Linked DNA regions of Saccharomyces cerevisiae S288C. Changing the gene in region 1 together with any one later gene gives a genetic interaction. Each region holds a gene or a part of one and is shown in the gene's direction. Other genes may lie near its edges.

The links. A genetic interaction does not mean that the proteins touch.
Region 2: mutations in YKR075C (region 1) and MNN2 together harm fitness more than expected from each alone (negative genetic interaction), as found in Saccharomyces cerevisiae (2 studies listed by BioGRID).

What each region holds. Positions count from the first base shown.
Region 1 is NC_001143.9:575,423-582,991, reverse strand, and holds YKR075C (uncharacterized protein), read left to right. Parts: upstream 1-2,241; coding exon 2,242-3,165; downstream 3,166-7,569. Other genes in the region: ECM4 (S-glutathionyl-(chloro)hydroquinone reductase), read right to left, coding at 1-709; AIM29 (Aim29p), read right to left, coding at 3,316-3,783; YKR073C (uncharacterized protein), read left to right, coding at 4,485-4,805; phosphopantothenoylcysteine decarboxylase complex subunit SIS2, read left to right, coding at 4,869-6,557; electron carrier DRE2, read left to right, coding at 7,012-7,569.
Region 2 is NC_001134.8:265,913-273,331, reverse strand, and holds MNN2 (alpha-1,2-mannosyltransferase MNN2), read left to right. Parts: upstream 1-3,828; coding exon 3,829-5,622; downstream 5,623-7,419. Other genes in the region: KAP104 (Kap104p), read left to right, coding at 1-2,385; cysteine-rich palmitoylated domain-containing protein CPP1, read right to left, coding at 2,699-3,085; glutathione-disulfide reductase GRX7, read left to right, coding at 5,996-6,607. UniProt on the Saccharomyces cerevisiae protein: Alpha-1,2-mannosyltransferase, responsible for addition of the first alpha-1,2-linked mannose to form the branches on the mannan backbone of oligosaccharides.

The sequences.
Region 1 (7,569 bases):
TTTCGTAAACTTCTGCTTTCTCTGCGAATCCGGTCTTGTATACACCATTGTTGATGCTGTCGTAAACCCAAGAATTGAAGTCATCGATCTGTGTTTTCAACTGAGCAGGAACAAGGTCCGTTTTCTTGTGATCGTCGTCGACAAATTCATCGAACGCACTAGAGTTCAAAATCCTTATAATTTCGCTACTTTCGTTGTTAACAATTGTTTGGGTTTCTAAGTCCCACAGGACTGGGACGGTGAACCTTGCCGAGTATTGAGGATCGCTCTTGTAATATAAGTCACTGATTCTCTTGTATCCATAGTGAGGCTCATTGGTAGCATCAACCATGAATCTTTGACTGTCATTCTTGATCTCGGCGAAGCTCTTGCTGGAATCCTCTTTAGCAGTTCTAATACCACCTGCAACATCGTGCCAATGTTCCAAAAAATCTTCACTGTCCTCCAATTGCTTTTCCATGTCCAAAAATCTCCATCCTTTCTCGTCAAGGTGCCAATGGACTACGCTACATCCTATAACAGAGGTTAATCCCTTCAAAGCCCTCGTAATTAGTGTTCTATGGGCCCATGGGCATGCAAGTGAAACATACAACCAATATCTTCCCTTTGCTGGCTTATAAATTGGGTGTTGCTTAGAGATTGTTTCTCTGAAGGACGAAACCTGTCTTTTGAAAGCTCCGTTTGTACCACTCGCCCACTGTTTCGACATTTCTTATTTATCTTGCGCAGGGTTTGGGTAAATTCTCGTAAGCACTGTAGTGATGGTAAGAGCAGCGTTACCTAATTAACTACCTTTATACAAGAAATGGAAAAGGGTTGAGAGGGGTTGGACGCTAAGACAAATAAATAGGGGTGTGAAATTTCAAGAGCTGACTAATATCTTAGTAACGGAGAACAACAGAGAACAGATGATAAAACTATATTGATACGTTCAAAAGGTCTTAGGACCGTCTGAAGAGGTGAAATAAAGATGGAAAAGTTTGCGTCACCAAGCCTTTTGCGTCGGTTTCCTCTGTAACACTTTTTAATTCAAAGTGTTAAAATCTCAACTGTATACCCTCTAATTTGCATAATAATGAAACTAAATGTAAAAAAAAAAAGGAAAGAAAATCACTCCATAATCAGGGTAATGAATCATTTTACAGTGTCATTTGCATGTTCATACACATACCCTTCTTGACAGAATGCAGGAAAAGCCTCAACTATTTATCGGACACATTCGCAAATGTCCATTGACGAGTAAAACGTTTCCGCGTCACTACATTCGTCACTACACAACTTTAAAATACCTTATTTTTTTAATTATGCGGAGTAAGTATCTTTGCAGAACTAGATGGTTGGATTGAGCAGTAGGCATCAGTGACTCGAATTGGTGCTCATTTTTATTTTAACGTACGATTTGTTCAGGCCTTGCTATGACAAGCTTCCTGACGAAATCATACTGCAAGATACATAGTCCCAGTCCATAAACTAGTAGAATGACAAAAAGAAACTCAGAACATACATAACACGATAGACAACGTATTCACGGTTTTGAACCCCACGTAGTATCCTTCTAAATGGCATTGCCTTTACCACATGAAAAACTAAGAGAAGAAAGCTCTCTGCACTAATCATTATAAACGACAGCGGACCCGGAAGCGAGTACCCGAATAGGCCGGGGAAGGAAAAGATAGAAAGGAATCTTTTTTTCTTCCCCCCGCTCTTTTTTTTTATGCTTTTTGGGGTTTTTCCGGCAACTTTCAACAGAAATGCCGTAGCCGGAAAAACCGAAAGCGGGGGACAGTGAAGCGTGAGAGGGGCGAGACAGGGGGAACTTGAATGGGGTATTTTGCTTTTGCTGCATTTTTTCCGCTGGTACCTCTATCTTTAGGCGACCGGAAAAATTCATTTTCTCATCTTTTTTTTTTTTTCGTTTCCGACTCGATACTCTTTACAAAGAAACCCCCGCGGGGAAATGTTAGATTTGAGCTTTTTCCGCCAGGAAAAGAAAAAACCTGGGGACATTAATCTTGTTTTTTCTTTCTTCTTTTGTCTTCCCTTGGATGACTGCAGAAAAAGTACAGTTACCGGGTCTTAGCAAAAACAAACATATATATATATATATATGAAAGCGTATGGTCAACACGGTTTTATAGGTTTTACTTTTTGCATTCAGTTCAACTTTGGCCCTTTCTCTTATCGCATTCAGATACTACACACAAGTGTTCATACACACACAAATAGATACATATACAGAAAATGACTAGTTTGGACGATACAATAATTTCGTACCAGAATATAATGTTACTGGATAACATGACCAACTACAACAAGCCTGCGATTGACTATTTCCATCATGAATTTAATGATGCAAGCTTGGAAATATCGGCTTCATGGACACTACTATTGAAGATGCGCAAACATAAACTACTTCGATTACCAAGTTGCTCTTCAGAGGACGTGCTAGATTACAACATGTACCTCGTTAGGCTACATCATTGCCTCTGGAGGCGTTGGTCCATAAATCACTATGGTTTACAGAACTCCAAATCCAATCCACTGTCCATCAACTGGAACAAAGAAACCGATGTAACGGTGTTGTACGGTCCAGATTTGACTAACATAGATAGTAATGAAAACGAAATATCGCCGGTCCAGAACCAAATTGACCAGAAACAAACAAAAAATCTAAAATCTGCTTTAAAGAAAAATACGGAATGCTGGGTAACCGAGGAGGTGGATGAGATTAACGCTTCTATAGAGAGCAATGACAACGCTTTGGTGAAATTAGAAGACATTTCATGCCCATCGTCTGTTGATTCTCACACGTCTTCCATTTTCGACCAGCATTCTACATGCACTAAAATTTCCTCCATAGATGAAGATTCTGAAGACCTTATGAACGAAAAGAAGGAACAATTCCCCAGGAAGTTGAAGTTTAACCAAGCCGTGATGAAGAGGGAGATCGACTCAAAGGGGACTATCCGCGAATCCCTCATCAACATAAACGATATCCAACATTCCCGCCACCATCGCCGTCACCATCGTCGCCATCATCACCATCACCATCAAAATAGTTCTCATTCTGATGAAACAATAAAAGAAGCTCATTATGAGTTCAGCAACTATACATTTGGCACTATGGAAGAAGACATTTTTTATAGGAACCAGGTTGTTTTTTAAAGGAGAGTTTGCTCTCTTCTGCATTTCCACATACACATTTGATGTTAATTTACATACGAGTATACTCTCGTACACAACATATATATATATATATATGTAATATATTCATAGCACTTACTTATTAATGAAGGCCATAAGCCAAACAACATCTCACCATTTTTCTTCAGGGTTTTCTTTAAACCTTAGGTAATCCTCTTTGTTGAAAAGCGAAATTTCGGTTTCATTCTCAATGCCATACTCGAACAGCTTTTTTTTGTCATTCTCTATGTCTAAAGTCCAGTCGTCATCGTGGTCAAAATTGATCACGAGATTAACCGTCTTGGAACCATGTGCGTGCGTGTATATCTTTAAAGTATCAAACTTAACATTACGGAATGGTCTGAATGAACCTTCATTTTGAATTTTGTTCAAAACGTCATTGAACAGGTCCTTTGCAGTTTTATCAGCAAGATCGTAATCGTGCAGCACTATGTTCTTGACGTTTCTATATGGGAAAGATTTTATTACTCGGATTGTAATAACGGAGTTCTTTAGTGGTCTGGCATTTGAGGTTAATGGCTCTTCCAAGTCATAATCATGAAAGGTTGTTGACATTTTCAGCCTTTTAGTTGAATTCATGAAATAATGCAACCAAACAAGAAAAAATTTGGGGGAGGTAGTCTACGCATTTCAGTTCTAACTTCCTTCCTTTTCTTTCACTATTAATTGAAACTTATTTTCATTTTTTTTCTTTAGCATTGAACGCCGAATCTAAAAAAGTAAAGAACTCCTCATAGGGGGCTCGAACCCCTGACATTTCGGTATCCTTGCTTAAGCAAATGCGCTTAAAAGCCGAACGCTCTACCAACTGAGCTAACAAGGATGAGTTCTTCGGAGGGCTAACTCATATAAATAACTAATAAAGGCGAAATAGTGGTCACCACCATCACACTACACCCATATCAACGACAAGAGTTTAATTTGACCGTGGAAATTTATTACTGCTGATTTGGGTTCTATGATAAATCCTCGTAACGTAGAGACTATGTTTTTATATGCGCATTAAGTGCCGGAAAACGTGAGAAATAGGCTTTCCGGAGCATCAAACCTGAGGTTTCATAAATTGTGTTCGTGAAGGATGCATTCCAGAGGGCCATCCATCCAGCATAAAAAGAGATCTACAAAGCAATTATGTGGTTTCGCCATTATCCGTAGGATGACCTAAAAAATGGTAATGATTCACGTGATCTAGAAACTTTAACGTGTTATATCATTCAAGGCGTAACTTATACGCGCGGGGTACCCTATCATATCTAACACACGTACCCTGGGTTAATGCCATGATCGTCTTTGATGTATCTCTAATGATCATTATTATTTTTTCTTTTGCTTTTAACATGAGTCAAAGCAATATTCTTATGTTATATAACTCACCCCATGTGCTCGTGGGCAGTGACGCACGCAACTTTTTCTCTTGCAAAAAATGGCATCGATGCTTTTCTGGGGAGGTGATATTAGAGGAGAAGAAGTCACAGAGTGCTCTTGGATCACGATCCCTCACTTGTACTTGTCCACTTATCAGCGCCGTCCAGTTACATTTGGAGAGATCTTTTTTTAGCCTGGCCTTCTTTGCTGTCATACTACTTTATATTCCGGGATAAAATATAAAGAAATATTAGTTAGGAAAAAATTAATAGGGAAGAAAGATCTAGAAGCAAACAGCAATGACTGCCGTCGCCTCTACTAGCGGGAAGCAAGATGCTGACCATAACCAGTCTATAGAGTGTCCAAGGTTTTCGCGTGGACAGAAAGAGATTTTGTTGGACCATGAGGATGCGAAGGGGAAGGATTCAATAATCAACTCCCCCGTGTCAGGGAGGCAATCAATAAGCCCTACTTTGTCGAATGCTACTACCACGACTACGAAATCTATTATGAATGCCACCGGCACCTCCGGCGCAGTAGTAAGTAATACTCCGGAGCCTGGTTTGAAGAGAGTCCCCGCCGTCACTTTCAGTGATCTAAAGCAACAGCAAAAGCAGGATAGTCTGACTCAGCTGAAGAACGACTCAGAAAGGACCAAGTCTCCAAATAGTAATCCTGCTCCTGTCTCAAATTCCATTCCTGGCAATCATGCAGTTATACCGAACCACACCAACACTTCAAGAACAACGCAATTATCTGGGTCTCCACTCGTCAACGAAATGAAAGATTATGATCCTAAGAAAAAAGACAGTGCTCTTAAAATAGTTGATACCATGAAGCCTGACAAAATCATGGCCACTTCAACGCCAATAAGTAGAGAAAATAATAAGGTAACCGCCAAAGCCCCCACCAGTATTACACTTCGAAAGGAAGATGCACAAGATCAAGCTAACAATGTTTCAGGCCAAATTAATGTGCGTTCTACCCCGGAAGAAACGCCAGTGAAGCAGTCCGTCATTCCTTCCATCATCCCCAAAAGAGAGAACTCCAAGAATTTGGATCCCAGACTACCTCAAGATGATGGAAAATTGCACGTGTTGTTTGGCGCTACAGGTTCGTTATCGGTATTTAAGATCAAGCCAATGATTAAAAAACTAGAAGAAATATATGGACGTGATAGAATAAGCATTCAAGTTATCCTCACTCAATCAGCAACACAGTTTTTCGAACAAAGATATACCAAGAAAATTATCAAATCTTCAGAAAAACTAAATAAAATGTCGCAGTACGAATCCACTCCGGCAACTCCAGTGACACCAACACCAGGACAATGCAACATGGCTCAAGTAGTCGAGTTACCCCCACATATTCAACTATGGACCGACCAAGATGAATGGGACGCATGGAAACAACGAACTGATCCTGTACTTCATATAGAACTACGTCGCTGGGCGGATATACTGGTAGTAGCTCCATTAACTGCAAACACATTATCAAAAATTGCTTTGGGCCTGTGCGACAATCTTCTGACAAGTGTCATTAGAGCTTGGAATCCGAGTTATCCCATTCTTTTGGCACCTTCTATGGTGAGTAGCACTTTTAATTCTATGATGACAAAGAAGCAACTACAAACGATAAAGGAGGAAATGTCCTGGGTCACTGTTTTCAAGCCGTCTGAGAAAGTTATGGATATAAATGGTGATATTGGTCTCGGGGGTATGATGGACTGGAATGAGATTGTTAACAAAATCGTTATGAAATTGGGTGGGTACCCAAAAAATAACGAGGAAGAGGACGATGATGAGGATGAGGAAGAAGACGACGACGAAGAAGAAGATACAGAAGATAAGAACGAAAACAACAACGATGATGATGACGATGACGACGATGACGACGACGACGACGACGACGACGACGACGACGACGACGATGATGACGAGGACGAGGACGAAGCAGAAACCCCAGGTATAATAGATAAGCATCAATAAATAGTCTATGAATTACAAATACACTAAACACATTCTACTTATTTGTGTTTTGTAATTTCTGGAAAAATACTCATTAGGCAAATTCACGCAGCATATTTACAAAATGTCACAAATTTTTTTCCTTTTTTACTTGCAGTAGGTATGTAATGCCATACTAGCGTACATAGAGCTCTTCATATAAACCGCTATTTATTACTAATTTTAATAATTCAGTAATTCATTAAATACATTCATTACTTTCTGGGTAAATATCTATTCGTTTCTCATTTTTCTTTTTTTGACATATCCCGGTACCGGAATAAGTCCGATACTATTCAAAAGCTTCTGGAAAAAAAAAATAAAAAAAAGAAATGATTAGTAATCATTTAATTTCATGACATATTAAAAAGGTATTCTAAGCAGAAGTCTTTCATCACATTTGATCTAAGCATATACACTGTAAGTGAAGGTATCGATGTCACAATACAAAACTGGTTTACTTTTAATACATCCGGCGGTGACTACAACGCCAGAGCTAGTAGAGAACACTAAGGCTCAAGCTGCATCAAAGAAAGTCAAGTTCGTGGACCAGTTTTTAATCAATAAACTAAATGATGGGTCCATAACTTTGGAAAACGCAAAATATGAAACAGTACACTATTTGACGCCAGAAGCCCAGACTGATATTAAGTTTCCGAAAAAGTTAATTTCTGTCTTAGCTGACTCATTGAAACCAAACGGCTCACTAATTGGTTTAAGTGATATTTATAAAGTAGATGCATTAATCAATGGGTTTGAAATAATTAACGAACCAGATTATTGCTGGATTAAAATGGATTCCTCTAAACTAAACCAAACTGTTTCTATACCACTGAAAAAAAAGAAAACGAACAATACTAAGCTACAGAGTGGTAGTAAGCTACCAACTTTTAAAAAAGCTAGTTCTTCAACCTCTAATTTACCCTCATTCAAAAAAGCAGATCACAGTAGGCAACCTATAGTTAAGGAAACAGACAGCTTCAAACCACCTAGT
Region 2 (7,419 bases), on another chromosome or scaffold:
GGTATCGTTATTACTACTTTATTTTCCACTTACTATAGGCAGCATAGAGATGATCCAACTGGTCTTCAAATGCTTTACCAGTTGCTAGAGCTAACCTCAAATGGAAATGAGCCAAGTATTAAGGCTTTATCTAAGATCATGGAAGACAGCGCTCAATTTTTCCAATTGGAATGGTCGGGAAATACGAAGCCTATGGAAGCCTTATTGGATAGTTTTTTTAGGTTTATTTCGAATCCAAATTTCTCACCTGTGATTCGCTCAGAATCGGTGAAATGTATAAATACAGTGATCCCGCTACAAACACAAAGTTTTATTGTGAGATTAGATAAATTCTTAGAAATTATTTTTCAGTTGGCACAAAACGACGAAAACGACCTAGTTAGGGCACAGATTTGCATTAGTTTTAGTTTCTTATTGGAATTCAGACCAGATAAGCTGGTTTCCCATTTAGATGGTATTGTACAATTCATGTTGCATTTGATCACCACTGTAAATGAGGAAAAAGTGGCTATTGAAGCCTGCGAGTTTTTGCACGCCTTTGCAACGAGCCCAAATATTCCTGAACATATCTTACAACCATATGTTAAGGATATCGTGCCAATATTATTATCGAAAATGGTCTATAACGAAGAATCCATCGTTCTCCTGGAAGCTTCTAATGATGATGATGCATTCTTGGAGGATAAAGATGAGGACATCAAGCCCATTGCACCCCGTATTGTGAAAAAGAAAGAGGCAGGAAATGGAGAGGATGCAGATGACAACGAAGATGATGATGATGATGATGATGATGAAGATGGCGATGTTGATACGCAATGGAATTTGAGAAAATGTTCCGCGGCAACGCTAGATGTAATGACGAATATTTTACCTCATCAAGTGATGGATATAGCGTTCCCATTTTTAAGAGAACATTTGGGTTCTGATAGGTGGTTTATTAGAGAAGCTACTATATTAGCACTGGGGGCCATGGCAGAAGGTGGAATGAAGTATTTTAATGATGGCTTACCAGCACTAATACCATTTTTAGTGGAACAATTGAACGATAAGTGGGCACCAGTGAGGAAAATGACATGTTGGACATTAAGTAGGTTTTCACCATGGATATTACAAGACCATACTGAGTTTTTAATTCCAGTCTTAGAACCTATAATAAACACATTAATGGACAAGAAAAAGGATGTTCAAGAGGCGGCTATTAGTAGTGTAGCAGTATTTATTGAAAACGCCGACTCCGAATTGGTTGAAACTTTATTTTATAGTCAATTATTGACGAGTTTTGATAAATGTTTGAAATATTACAAGAAAAAGAATTTAATTATATTATATGATGCCATCGGCAGGTTTGCTGAAAAATGTGCATTAGACGAGACAGCGATGCAAATAATTTTGCCGCCCTTAATTGAAAAATGGGCTTTGCTGTCAGACAGTGACAAGGAGCTGTGGCCACTTTTAGAATGTCTTTCCTGCGTGGCATCATCACTGGGGGAAAGATTCATGCCTATGGCACCAGAAGTGTACAACAGAGCCTTTAGAATTCTATGTCATTGTGTCGAATTGGAAGCCAAATCACATCAAGACCCGACAATAGTAGTGCCTGAGAAGGACTTCATCATCACCTCATTAGATTTGATTGATGGATTGGTACAAGGTCTTGGCGCTCACTCGCAGGATCTATTGTTCCCTCAAGGGACGAAGGATTTAACGATATTGAAAATCATGCTAGAATGTTTGCAGGACCCTGTCCATGAAGTAAGACAAAGCTGCTTTGCCCTGTTGGGAGATATTGTATATTTTTTCAATTCGGAACTGGTAATTGGTAATTTGGAGGATTTCTTGAAGTTGATTGGTACGGAAATAATGCATAACGACGATAGTGATGGTACTCCTGCTGTGATAAATGCGATATGGGCGCTTGGTTTGATAAGCGAACGTATCGATTTGAATACTTATATCATTGATATGTCTAGAATCATTCTAGATTTATTTACCACCAACACACAAATCGTAGACAGCTCTGTGATGGAGAACTTGTCTGTGACCATCGGAAAAATGGGGCTAACACACCCTGAAGTTTTCAGTTCTGGCGCATTTGCCAATGATTCCAACTGGAATAAATGGTGTTTGTCCGTTAACGCATTGGACGATGTAGAGGAAAAGAGTAGCGCGTACATGGGTTTCCTGAAAATTATCAATTTGACCAGCACGGAGGTCACAATGAGTAATGATACCATTCATAAAATTGTTACGGGCCTTTCAAGCAATGTAGAGGCGAATGTTTTTGCGCAAGAGATCTACACCTTTTTGATGAACCATTCTGCCCAAATTTCTGCAATAAATTTCACGCCCGATGAAATCTCCTTCTTACAACAGTTCACCAGCTAAAATTTTTTTTACTGTATCCTACGTGTTTGTATAGTTTGGTACATTATTACTAGTGATATATACATAGCACAATTCGGAAAAAAAAAAAAGGTGCATAACTGCAAATGGATCACATAGAAATGAAAATAGTTATAAAAGTTACATATAATTAATAGACGTATTACATACATGCTTAAAGTGACATGTTAAAGTTTTTTTTTTTATCTCCTTGTGAAAAAAAATAACACTGAGGGGAAGAAAGGCAACTGCAAAGAACAGAAGGGGAGATTATTCTTTTTTTTTTTTTCATTCTTGAATACTTTTGCGGGTTCTCTTAGAATAGCATATCCATGGTGCAGCATATACATAATGCAGCCAGACATGCAGCCAGACAACCTTCGTTACCCCTCTGGGGTGGTTGTTGTTGGACGTAGACTGGTTGTTGATGGCCTTGTTGGTTATATCCCTGCTGGTTATATCCCTGCTGATTGTAGCCCTGCTGATTGTACCCTTGCTGATTGTACCCTTGCTGATTGTATCCTTGTTGGTTATAGTATCCGGGATGCTGCTGCTGCTGCTGGTAGTACTGCTGCTGTTGTTGGGGTGGGTATCCACGCTCCTGAGTTTTGTTCTGATGAGCGGATGAAGGTGGCGGGTTGGAGGGACGGGAATATTGGCTCTTCTCGCCGGCGGTTCCGCCGTAGTAATCGTTAGCAGACATGGTGGTTGTGTGTAGGACTATCTTAAGCTTACTAGTGAGTCTCTTCAATGCTTGTCTTGAGAAGAGAAAGAGCCAGAGGGGGATTTTGGAAAAAGCCAAATTGACATACTTTTATAGCTTCGGCCGCAGCAGAATGGCTGAAGAGTAAGAGGGCGCAGAGCGGCTGAGCGAACCCGTCGGGCGCGACCAGCCGATAGTAGCACAGTAGAATTTTAGAAGCATTCGTTATCAGGCCGATGTGTGCAATTATTGTAGGTCTGCAGTAACGTAGCTCTACTTTTTCGCAGTCCCGTAGTTTTAAAACTTTTAGTTAATCAGGTGTGAGGTGGAATGAGCGATGGCACTATGTCGGGCAAGGCAGCTTAGCGCACAAGTTAAGCTGGTGCGCTCAGAAGTTGGAGGGTTCGCTAAATAGGTTATGCAAACATGCAAGTCAAGTGAGTCGCCATTGGCTCGCTTGGTGATTAGGTGACTCTAATACATCGTCCAGGACCCGTTATTACCGTTCACGTGCTAAAAAAGGATCGCGTCCTTTTGCGGAGGGATGAAAAAGATAGTGAAAAAATAACAATGAAGAAAAAAAAAATATAGAAGAATCATCAAAATAAATTACGTGTACTTGGTGTTGCTTATACGTTAAAAGCAGAATTGCCCTACTTTTTAATATCCTCGTGCTGCTCAAGGTATCATATCTACTTCGAGACAAATCAGTGTAGGTAGGTCAGTAAAATTATATTTTCAGTATGCTGCTTACCAAAAGGTTTTCAAAGCTGTTCAAGCTGACGTTCATAGTTTTGATATTGTGCGGGCTGTTCGTCATTACAAACAAATACATGGATGAGAACACGTCGGTCAAGGAGTACAAGGAGTACTTAGACAGATATGTCCAGAGTTACTCCAATAAGTATTCATCTTCCTCAGACGCCGCCAGCGCTGACGATTCAACCCCATTGAGGGACAATGATGAGGCAGGCAATGAAAAGTTGAAAAGCTTCTACAACAACGTTTTCAACTTTCTAATGGTTGATTCGCCCAAGGGGAGTACTGCAAAGCAGTATAACGAGGCATGCTTATTAAAGGGTGACATTGGAGACCGTCCCGACCACTACAAAGATCTTTACAAGTTGTCTGCTAAGGAGCTGTCCAAGTGTTTGGAACTATCTCCGGATGAAGTAGCAAGTCTGACCAAAAGCCATAAGGACTACGTAGAGCATATAGCGACTCTCGTCTCGCCAAAGGGTACGTACAAAGGGTCCGGTATAGCCACAGTGGGTGGCGGGAAGTTCTCCCTTATGGCATTTTTGATCATTAAGACTTTAAGGAATATGGGGACCACGTTACCTGTGGAAGTCCTGATCCCTCCTGGTGATGAAGGTGAAACTGAGTTTTGTAACAAGATTCTGCCTAAGTATAACTCCAAGTGTATTTACGTTTCAGATATTCTACCACGAGAGACGATTGAAAAATTTGTTTTCAAAGGATACCAGTTTAAATCATTGGCCCTTATCGCTTCTAGTTTTGAAAACCTGCTCTTACTGGATGCTGACAACTTCCCCATCAAACCCCTAGACAACATATTCAATGAAGAACCATATGTGTCTACGGGCTTGGTCATGTGGCCCGATTTCTGGAGGCGTACAACTCACCCATTGTATTACGACATTGCAGGTATTGCTGTGGACAAGAAAAAGAGAGTTCGCAATTCTCGAGACGATATCACCCCACCTGCTGTTTACACAAAGGATTTGAAGGATTTGAGTGACGTCCCGCTAAGTGACCTAGACGGAACAATACCCGACGTGTCTACGGAATCCGGCCAACTGATGATAAACAAAACGAAGCATTTGGCTACGGCTCTTCTATCTTTATTCTACAACGTCAATGGACCAACGTGGTACTACCCAATATTTTCTCAAAAAGCTGCTGGTGAAGGTGATAAGGAAACTTTCATTGCCGCTGCAAACTTTTATGGTCTATCATTTTACCAAGTTAGAACAAGGACAGGCGTTGAAGGCTACCATGATGAAGACGGGTTTCATGGTGTAGCAATGTTACAACACGACTTTGTGCAGGATTATGGCCGTTACTTAAATGCTATGGAGAGCATTGGCAACAAATACGGTGGCACTAAATCAGCTGATGCAATCAAGTTTGACAAAAACTATTCCCTCGAAAAATACACCGAAGAATTTTTCGACAACGAGGACTTAAATGCCAAGAATCATGTAGATGTTATGTTCATCCATTCAAACTTCCCAAAGTTTGACCCATACGATTTATCTAAAAGCAATTTTTTGACTACGAATGGTAAACCTGCTCGTTCATATACGGCCTTAAAAAAGGTAAAAAATTACGATATTGAACTAGAGAATTTCAAGGTTTTAAACGAATATGTTTGTGTTAATAAGAATCCTTTCAAATATCTCGATGACCTTTTAGGGCAGGATAAAACGGAATGGAAAAGAGTGTGTGGTTACATCACCGATAGATTAGCATTTTTAGAATCTACTCATGATAAGGCGATTGCCGGTAAATAATATGCAACGGGTCGGACTATAGTTTGGACAACTTCCATTGGCGTTTTCTACATTCTTATTACTATTCCTTACATAGTTATGTTTATTTATCTTCCAGTTATGTAAATTTTTTCCTTCACAATCCATATAAAATGACTTTACTACAGATGTATAAATATGCAGTCCCGGGTGTATTTGAGAATCGAGACTACGTCATACCGGTAAGTGGGACTGCGTTTTGAAAAAAAATAAAGAAGTACTTTCGGCAGGATATTTGCCAATGTGTACATATCCCCTCAGTGAAAAAGCTCGAATCAAATAAAAGAAAAAACCTATATATTGGAAAGAAGCAAAATTTTCAAATTAAACGCAAAACAACTGAAGAAAATTAGAGATGGCTATTGTTATAAACAAAAGAAACGTGAGAGTCTTGGTAATAACTAATTTACTGCTCATTGTTGTGTTTTTTGTGTTAAGGAATTCGAATGCTAGCGTCAACGAAAGTATTACTACTCACCATCCTGATTCATTGGTGACGTTTGACAATTCAGGAAATGCACCTGGCACTCACCAATCTGTCCATGATACAGTAAATACACAAGATAAGGAAGCCGAAGAAGTTGATAAAAATAGTGGGGACGCTGAATTTGATGCCGCTGCAGAATACAACAAAATAATGGAACAGTCACCCATGATTGTATTTAGCAAGACTGGCTGCCCATATAGCAAAAAACTGAAAGCTTTGTTGACTAATTCGTACACGTTTTCTCCATCTTACTACGTTGTAGAATTGGATAGGCACGAACACACAAAAGAACTACAAGACCAGATTGAAAAAGTCACTGGTAGGAGAACAGTCCCAAACGTTATCATCGGTGGTACTTCCAGAGGTGGTTATACTGAGATAGCAGAGTTACATAAAAATGATGAACTTCTAGACTCTTTCAAAAAATGGAGCGATGGGGCGTTTACTGTAAAAGCTAATTCGCAATCTGAGAGTGCCTAGATCAGATTATAAACTGAGAGTTATTCTTCTTCTTCTCCCACAGTAGCGAAAGAGGATATTTAGGTAGTATACAGATTTAAATGTAGTAAGGAAAAAAATTAAATATTGGCCATCTGTTTTAGGCATTTCATGTGGACAACATAAGCCTTTTGGACTGTTTAAAGTAGGTTAACGTAGAGCAGAAAAATATGAGAAGAAGCCTGTAATTTGTATAGTCAAGCATATATATTACATGAGTTTGGTGATCAGCTTAATTTTTCAGTATTCAAAAAAATGCTTCCAATCGGATTTGAACCGATGATCTCCACATTACTAGTGTGGCGCCTTACCAACTTGGCCATAGAAGCAGTTTTTGATGTGAGAGTCGCGTAGCGAATTTGCTTATACAAATGTTAAGGTAACTTCAGATCTAAACTCAAACTTGTATTTTCCTCTATATTTATCTCATCTTGGATTGTGGTTTCCTAGTGTTGGTATAAAAATCAACTATCGTCTATCAACCAATAGTTATACTATCAATATATTATCATATACGGTGTTAGATGATAGACGGTATTTGATTTTTATTCCAACACGAATGATTGTTACTTGATTTGTTGATGAGAATAAATCTTTAGCCCACAAATTTTCGTATTCAAGGAGAGACAAAATGAGGCCGCCACTTACAGAGTATCACAAATCTGAGATAATCTATAAAAACCACAGCTACACCAGGACAGCATACACATATACATCAACACTAATCTAGATAGCCTCGCTTCTTAAGTTAATTTTCAGAGATAGAAAAGACTTAATAGTACAAGGATCCGTAT